2 linked regions of the Sus scrofa genome follow. The protein of the gene in region 1 interacts with the protein of each later gene in a pairwise test. Links are inferred from orthologs where the notes say so. Each region holds a gene or a part of one and is shown in the gene's direction. Other genes may lie near its edges.

What was found.
Region 2: the proteins of GOLGA1 (region 1) and PDCL2 interact in a two-hybrid assay, tested with the Homo sapiens proteins (2 studies listed by BioGRID). The two-hybrid records come from large-scale screens. The link is inferred for Sus scrofa from reciprocal best matches to the Homo sapiens genes GOLGA1 and PDCL2.

Annotation. Positions count from the first base shown.
Region 1 is NC_010443.5:265,703,058-265,707,351, reverse strand, and holds the start of GOLGA1 (golgin subfamily A member 1), read left to right. Parts: upstream 1-1,444; 5' UTR 1,445-1,598; exon of another isoform or gene 1,599-1,921; intron 1,922-2,393; 5' UTR 2,394-2,443; intron 2,444-3,315; 5' UTR 3,316-3,479; coding exon 3,480-3,614; intron 3,615-4,294. UniProt on the Homo sapiens protein: Involved in vesicular trafficking at the Golgi apparatus level. Involved in endosome-to-Golgi trafficking. Mechanistically, captures transport vesicles arriving from endosomes via the protein TBC1D23.
Region 2 is NC_010450.4:54,947,129-54,951,432, reverse strand, and holds the start of PDCL2 (phosducin-like protein 2), read left to right. Parts: upstream 1-1,471; 5' UTR 1,472-1,495; coding exon 1,496-1,543; intron 1,544-4,304. UniProt on the Homo sapiens protein: Essential for male fertility, spermiogenesis and acrosome formation.

The DNA of each region.
Region 1 (4,294 bases):
ATATGGTGCCTCCCACCTTGAGGGCGCTTAAATACTAGAGGATGGAGTATGTTTTGATGTTTATTGAATAACAAGATTACAGAATATTTGATTTTTGTTGTCAGTGTATTGAAGACATTTTTGCATTGATAAATGTTCTCTAGGAATGTGATTACATTCATCAGGTGTGAACTCTTGTAAAAATAAATTTTGTATCTTGAATTCCCGTATATATTAAGTGTATCATCAATATAAAAATAAACATTATTTGCTTAAAGTTTTTGTACTTCTTCAGAATTGTTGACAATATAAATATTAAACTGATGGGGCTTACTTCTTTCAGATAATACCTTGGATACTTCAGTCTTGGGGTTGTGGATTCCATGCGCGTCTTTTAGTTTGTAAATTTCTTCTGGGTCCTAGTTACGGTCTTTTTCCCTGCCCTCCTCCTGGTGGTCATAACTGGCACAGGCGGGGTGAGGGATTGTTTCGGGGGATCGGGTGGAAGTTCCTAGCCCTCAGGCTGGTGGTGTTGGATTTGGGCAATAACACATGCAACTTCAACGTGGAATGGCCGGCTTGGTTGGCACCGAGCATTCCGGAGACTCGACGTAGGCTACCAATTTGTACCGTGATACAAGGCAGTTTTACCTCCCTGCATTTTCTTCATCTGTCAAAAGTTGGAGGCCCATTAGTGGACTGAGAAATGAATGTGATGGGCTACCGCCTGCGTGTTTTTCTAAAGAAATGCGATGTCTCACCGTGCACTATGTAATAAGGGTATGATTCTCCAAACTTCTTTCACTGATACGTTATATGTCCTGGATTGCAGTATAAAATGTATAACCTGAGAGTTCTCTTGTGGCGCCCAGCGGGTTAAGGACCCAGCGCTGTCACTGCTGTGGTGTGGGTTCGATCCCTGGCCCAAGAACCTGCACGTGCCAAAAAATTTTAAGAATTAAAAGCAAAATGTATAAACTACAGTACGTCACAGGCACAAAACACCGGTTACATGGCGCGAGTTCTCAGTAGTACTTTATGGAGTCACAGCTTCTTGCAAGTGGCGAGGTGACTGTGTAGGGTGCAGAGGGATTGGGATGCAGGGAGAGGAATAAAAATTCTGTGCTGGCCCAGCATCACCACGGCCGGTGGGTCTCCATGCGGTTCAGCACAGGCTGCCCCCCCCTCAACAACTGCCTTCTTTCTCTTTGGCAACAGGCTCCTCCCACTTCCCCGGCTCCGCATCGCCCCCTTTCGAGGGACAAGAAAAAAAAGGAAACACTTCGGCCGCTCAGTCCTCCTACGCGGTCAGGCAGCTAGCTGACGTGGCGAACCTGCCTGAGGGAGCGCCGGGTCCCGCGCCCTCAAGCGGCTCGGGGCAAACTGCCACCCCGAAGCTCAAGCAGCTGCCGCGAAGGCTGCGCTCAGGCGCATGCGCGCGGTGGGAGGGCTGCGCGCGGTGGGCCTGCCCCGCGCGCAGCCACTTCCGGCGCGCGGGTGGAAGTGAGGTTCCGGGTCGCTGCCGTGCTCGCCGGCCGGTCGTGGGGGCTGGTGACGGGGGCCGGCGTTCACTAGAGGGCCCGGAGGCGGGGCTCTGCCGGCTGCCCAGAGAGCGGCAGGTGCGCGGGCGGGGGCAGGAGATGCAAGCAGGCCCCTCATTCTCCTGCTTGCTTCCGTGCGCCCCCAGAGCGGCCCTGACTGGGTTACTCCTGACCCAAGCCGGGGGCAGTACTGGGGTGCCGAAAGGGCGAGGGTAGGGGCCGAAGCGGGCTCCCCGGCCTGGGAATTTGGAGCCTAGGGGTCCGGAATTCCCGCCTGCGCGACCTCGGGCAAATCACTCTTCCGTGATTCTGAGTTTCCCTGCTGTCAAATTGGAGAGACTTTGGGTCCCTCCCTTCTTTGACAGTCCACGTACAGGCGGGTCTGGAAGGAGCCTGAGTGAGTGAGTGGAAACTACCGTGGCAGATGGCTGGCCTTTGGGTCTTAGACAGCTGTCTCTTACCCAACTTAGCCGTCTCTTTTCTTGGCGACTTTCTTAGTTCGAGTCAAGGCTTTGGGTCTAGCCAGGTAACGACAGTCAGGATCTATTGAGAATTTATTACTGGCCATGGGTAACCTTAATCTCATTCGGATTGTTTTGCTCAGGGCTCCCGAGGCGAAGTGAATTTCGCCACTTACTACAGTGAGTTTCAGTTCTTTGGCCTGTCAATGAAGCTTTTAGGCAAATCACAAATGCAAAGACCAGGGAGAGGGAGAGGAGACCACTGAGGATTGCGACAGTGGCAGCTTTTTCTCTCCCCCTCACCTAAATCCTTCCTCCTTCCTCTTCCTCTACCCTCGCCTGACCCCTCCTCAACATTTTGGCCTTACACTTGAGGAAATATCCAATGCGGTTTATTTTTGTTTTCATGCAGGACAGAGAGCTTTGACCTCCAAGCTGTTTTAAGTCTAGTAGATAAGCCAGGTGAGTAGCTGGTTTTCAGTATTGAAGGTAAAAGTTTTTGAAGACTCGTAAAGACTTAAATGGATGCTCTGAAGTGGTAAGAAGTCATTGGTAGATTTTAGAGCAGTGCTTAGGTATCCTCCACAAAATATCAAAAGTTAAGGTTGGAGCCAGAATGTTAATGTAGCATACACGTTAGGAGGGAAAGATGTTTGAACCTCATGGTGAATATTATGTAAAACATTCTGAAGAAAAGAAACCTACTCGAGGTAATTTGAATCACCCTTAAAAGAGAACCACACAGCACTTCCAGGAAACATTTAAGGCTATCTGATACCTGTACAGTATAGTTGTGTGGCTTGCTTGTTTTGTTTTGTTTTTTTAGAAAAAAAGTTGTCAATTTTTTCTGGTGAACGGCTGATTGGAAACCATCTTCGAACTTTAGAACTTTACACCTTTTCGTTGTATTAAGTTACATATTTTTGTCTTCATCTTTAACAAAACAAAACGCTAAACTGTATGTAATTGGGGGAAAGATTCAAAAGCGTTGTTATGTTAATGTTTGCCCCAGGAAACTTAATGTGTGTATACCACAGCCAATGTGGTATAATAAAAAAGAAAGTGAGGACTTATGAGTCAGAGTCCTGGGTTCAAATGCCATCCCTGCACATAACCACACAATCTTTGGCACATTACTTCATCTCCTTGAGACTGGATTTCCTTATCTGTATATGTGCATATGTAGTAGCTTTTTAAAGATTTAGTAATTGTGTTTTATTTAGTGTGCATTAAAATTGTGAAACTTAATTTTGAAACCTGAAGCTTAGCAAAGCAACCCAGATGTGAAATATCTCTGGTATTTAACTTAGAGCTCTCTTTCATCTGATTTATAGACACCCTGTTGCCACAAGCCTTTGGCCCAAGTTTCAGTGGGAATGCAGCTAGTTTGGATATCTGGAACTTTTTAGGCACTTTTTTGGAATTCCTGGTTGCTGGCCTAACGACTACTGTAGTGGTTCAAGACCTTGTCATCAGTGCAGGATAGCCACACAGCAAAATGTTTGCAAAACTAAAGAAGAAAATTGCAGAAGAGACTGCTGTCGCCCAGAGGCCTGGAGGTGCTGCTAGGATCCCACGATCAGTGAGCAAGGAATCGGTTGCCTCTATGGGAGCTGACTCAGGAGATGACTTTGTAAGTATCTTCTCTAGTTTTTAATATTTGGTCAGTCTCACTATATTTTTAAAATAATATTTGTGGGAAACTTTCCAGCAAGTATTTTATTTTTAAATTGCAAGATTACTTGTTTATATCTAATTCTTCTTACTCTGAGGTGAGGTGCTTTTCTATTTTTTTTTCTTAATTTTCACAAATCCCTTTTTATATGCTCTACGTTGTCCTCTTGTACTCTTTTTTCCATCTATATACCTTGTGTATCTTCTTTTACATTCTGTTTTTCAAAATGCTTTGGCCTGTTGTCTCTACACACATATTTTAAGTCATTGTTGCTTAGCAAGTTCTTTGAGTTTGGTGTGGAATTAGCCAGGGAATTAGCTCTATGTTAACGGAGAAGTTGATGAAGAGATGACACTGGTGGCCACATTATGTCCCTTATTTGTAAAGTATCTTTGTAGTTGGAAAGATTTGAGGATACTGCTGTGGTAGGTAAATGTCATGCCTTACGATTAAAATTGTGTCTGTGGCATATGACAGGGTCCTCTCAAAGTGAGATAACTTTTTTTTTTTTGCTTTTTAGGGCTGCACCCTTGGCATATGGAGGTTCCCAGGTTAGGGTTCGAATCAGAGCCACAGCCACAGCAACGGGGGATTTGAGCCACATCTGTGACCTACACCACAGCTCACAGCAACACCGG
Region 2 (4,304 bases), on another chromosome or scaffold:
CCAGTCTTTGGCCACTGCACATTCTTTGGCCTGTGTTGTATTGATCTCAGCCACCAACCAGATGAATCATGAGCCCTTCTGCACCAAGACAGAGAGCTTTGGCTACAATTGGGCTTCAACAGGGACCAAACGATTAACTTGGGAACCAGAGGGCTTCAAAGCCATACATGCCTAGAGCAACATTAGCCAGTGCTAGCCATGGTAATTCAACTAGCCTGATTAGGGATGATCAAAATAAGAAAGGGAGTTGACCACTAATTTAAGCAGCAGTTCCCAGGGCCTCCCAGAAACCTAGAGAGATTTAGGTCACTTACATTTGGGGGTCCCCACGATATTAAAAGGAAGAAGAAGAGAAGGAGGAGGGGAAAGAGAAAGGAAGAGGGGGAGGAAGGGAAGGAGGAAAAGTTGAAAATAAAACAGGGTTACAAAACTTGTAATATTTTAATACATTAATACCTTACACAAAAATACAGCAGAACAAAAAGGCTATTAGGAGGGTAGGATTTGTGTGACCTGGGCCCTACAGAGGGGGTTGCCCAAGTTTAAGCTGTGTCACTAAAAAGCGTTTTTTTTTTTCTTCTTTTTTACAAATCCTTTCATGTCTTTGCGACCACGGGTATAACCTTATTTGGCAAGAACATCAAATGCTTTCCTCATGTTCCTGTCAGCTCCCAGTAAACATCCTTTCCTTAACTTATGCACCAAGGAACCAAACTGTCTTGGCTTCCTTGGGAGCGCCTGTCTTCGGAGGTTTTTAGGACGGGGGAGGGGAACCGTTTGAGAATCTGACGAAAGCTCTGGTCCCTAAATCGCACCCAAAATATGTGTGCACTGAGGGCTGGGGGCTTGGCAGCCCCTAAAATCCATCCAAACACAGGCTATGGGCTCCGGGTTTAGAAATCCTCGGCTGAGAGGTTCTCTCCCCACGACTTTGTTCCTTGTCATGAAGACAGGGGACTAAAGGGAACCAGAGGCTCGGAAAACACGCCTTGACTTGGTGGTGGTGGAGGGAAGGTGAGAAGATGGGCAGCACCTGTGTCAGTACCAGGAGCAGGGGAGGCACCGCTTGGGACCTGTTCCAGGTCTTTGTTCAAAACCCAGCAATGCCCACCTTTAGCATGGTTAACATAAATAGTTAAATATAAAGAGAAAAAAAGGAAGCAACTAGCTGGGACCAATATAGCAAGGAATCTAACCTCCAGTAGACCCTAAGTCTCATTATATTCTGATTTTACTAAATTAGTATATCAAATAACATACCTCCCAGGCGCTCCAGTACCCACAGCCCCTTGCCTAGGCCACGCCTCCGCGTTGCCTGGCAACCGAGCTACGCCTGAGCAGGGAGTCCAGTCTCTTGTTCTCCGCTCTTCCTCTCCGCGGGCGGTGGGAGACGCAGGGGCGCGGCGGTCTTCCTGCTGCTTCTGAGGACCTTGGAGCCAGGAGTCCCCGCCAGGGGCTGCACAACGGCGGCGGTTGCGGGGCGAGGAGCAACGCCATGCAGGTGGGGTCGCGGCCTTCAGCGACCCTGGGGCACCCTAAAGAGGTGCCGGCTGGGCCCGAGGCTGAGCAAGGTGGAGGGGGTGGCCTTTAGAGGTTCGGTTCTCACATTTGTTTTGGATAAGAGCTAATTTTTGTGCGTCCCTGTCAGGATTGAAGAGAAATTCAGATCAACTCTAGGACAACACCTGTTTTTCAACACTCGAGATTTCGGTTTGTCGCTGGAGGAATTTTGGGGTTGCATTTCTCACCTGAAATTTTTACTGCCGCTCTGATTCTGACTTAAGAAATAGACTGTCAACATTAGCCCAAGTGTAATCCACTTTAAGTATCCTGCCCCACCACATTTTAAGAAAGATCAGAGAGGAAACCCTAATAGTTGCACTTGTTTTGAGAAAGACCAACTGTCCCTGGGGTTTTTCTTTTCTTTTCTATTTCCTTTTCTTCTCCCTCCTTCCTTCCTGCCTTCTCAGGGCCACACCCAGAGCATAGGAAAGTTCCCAGGCTAGGGGTTGAGTCAGAGCTGCAGCTGGCAGCCTAAACCATAGCCACAGCAATGGGGGATCTGAGCCACATCTGCGACCTACACCACAGCTCAGGCAACACAGGATCCTTAACCCACTGAGCAAGGCCAGGGATTGAACCAGCATCCTCATGGATACTACTTGGGCTCTGAACCAAAGTACTACTGCTGAACCACAACAGGCGCTTTCAAGGCGTTTCTCTCACTTGATCACAAAACCTGTTAGATTTCTATTAATTCCTAAGAAAGCTGCTCCTATGTTACAAGGTGCCTTATTAATCAGAAACCTGTGTTTTGGGAGTTCCCTTGACAGCTCGGTGGTTTACAAACCCGACTAGGATCCACAAGGTTGCAGGTTCCATTGCCTTGAGCTGTGGTGTAGACTGCAGACGAGGCTCTGATCCCAATGGCTGTGGTGTAGGCCAGCAGCTGTACCTCTGATTCGACTCCTAGGCTGCGATCTTCTGTATACCGAGGGTGTGGCCCTACAAAGCAAAAAAAAAAAAAAAAAAAAGCCTGTGCTTTTCTTTTTTTATCAGAGTAAAATTCTCACTTTCCAACTTCAGAAACAGCTTCTTCCCACTGGCTCCCCAAAATCAAAACCACTGTGATTTTTCTTGTTTTACATATTTAATTTTGGTAATCATGTGTGGTGTATAATTTGCTAGACTAGTTTGAACATAAATTACGTGTAATTTTTAAGGGGTATTTCTTTTGTCTTAATAATAGATTCCTAGCAAGTACATTTTGTTCACTATGTTAAAACATTGCAAATTTGTCTTGATTTGCATCTGCTCTTCAAGAAATAGGCTGAAATGTAATTGAGAGTGAAGGCAACATCACATTCATCTTTGTTCATTTATTTATTCGTTGATTTATTCAACAGCCAGTTATGCGGTGCTTATGTGTAGATATGGACTTGTTCTAAAAGAGGGAGTTCTTTGGAGAATAAGAGGGAGTCAGATGTAACTATTTATGTATGATAAATGCATAATACTTTTATCAAATAGATTGTGGTTTCTATTTCTATTACAGTTTCATAGATAATTTCTAAAAGTGAAGGGAAAATGAGAATATAGAGCATTTACTGTTAAATCCCACTGCAGCTAACTCCTAGATCAGTTAAGGAGAGCAGCCAGAGAGGTATGAATAAAACCCTAAGTACCTGACGTCATGAATATGAAGAAAGTTTTTCTAACAAGAAAATAATGACAAGCTCTCTCCAGATTCTGCTTACGAGCTCAAATACAAATGTATTTATCCATTGAAAATAATGTGGAGCTCATAGGTGACTTAGAGAAGTTTTGAAAGAAGTATTGGTGGTAGAAGCCAACTCTGGAGTAGGTTGAAGAGTGAATGGTTGGTAAATGTGATTATAGCATATATAGACAATTAGACAATATAAGCAATTACTAAAAGCTTGACTAGAAAGAAGAGAGAGAGAGTGGTAGGGGATGTGAAATGCAGGGAGGGTTTTTTAAAAAGTGACTGTTGTGTTTTCTGAAAATAATGGATTAGGATTTTTGGACCAACTCTCCTGCTGAACACAAGTAAAATGCTGGCTAGACTGTAAAACATATCTCCTTGAAAGTGTCACAGATAACATGATATTAAACTATGAGACCAAAATCAAAGGGAAAGTGGAAAACCAGGTGAATGCATTTCCAGAGCTGTAAAGTCACTTTTACCCCAAGGGTGTCTTATCAATCTGCTTTTTGGTCCTGGGTATAATCACAGGGTGAGGAGGAACCGAAGGATATGGTAAAACCTATTACCAAGAAGCTGTGGCTCAAGACAGTTCTCACAACCTGAGACATATTTCTGGGTGATACAGCAAACTTCCAACTGTTAAGTTGTTATCAATTAGTTATATACTGTAGTGCTTGTAAATGCCTGGAAAAAATAACACATCCTCTGTTGAGGAAGACATCTTTTTCTTAGGCCTTAAAGAATTCCTGCAGGTAAGGTCTCAAGGACATCAACAGAAAACGGTCAGAAGTAACCAAACGCACAAGGGAACAGGGACACTGTGAGTATGAACCAACAAAAACAGACTTGCAGAGACTTGAGTTATTGGAATGATCAGGAGCAGGTTATAAAACAGTTGTGCTTATTATGTTTAAAAAACAAAAGACCAAATTGAAATCATCTTCAGGCGGTAGGAAAATATAAAAAAGTAACAAAATTTTGATGAAGACATTACTATATAATACAGTGAATAATTTTGAGCCATTTCATGTATGATTGCATCAAAAAGAATAAAATACTTAGGAATAAGTGTAAT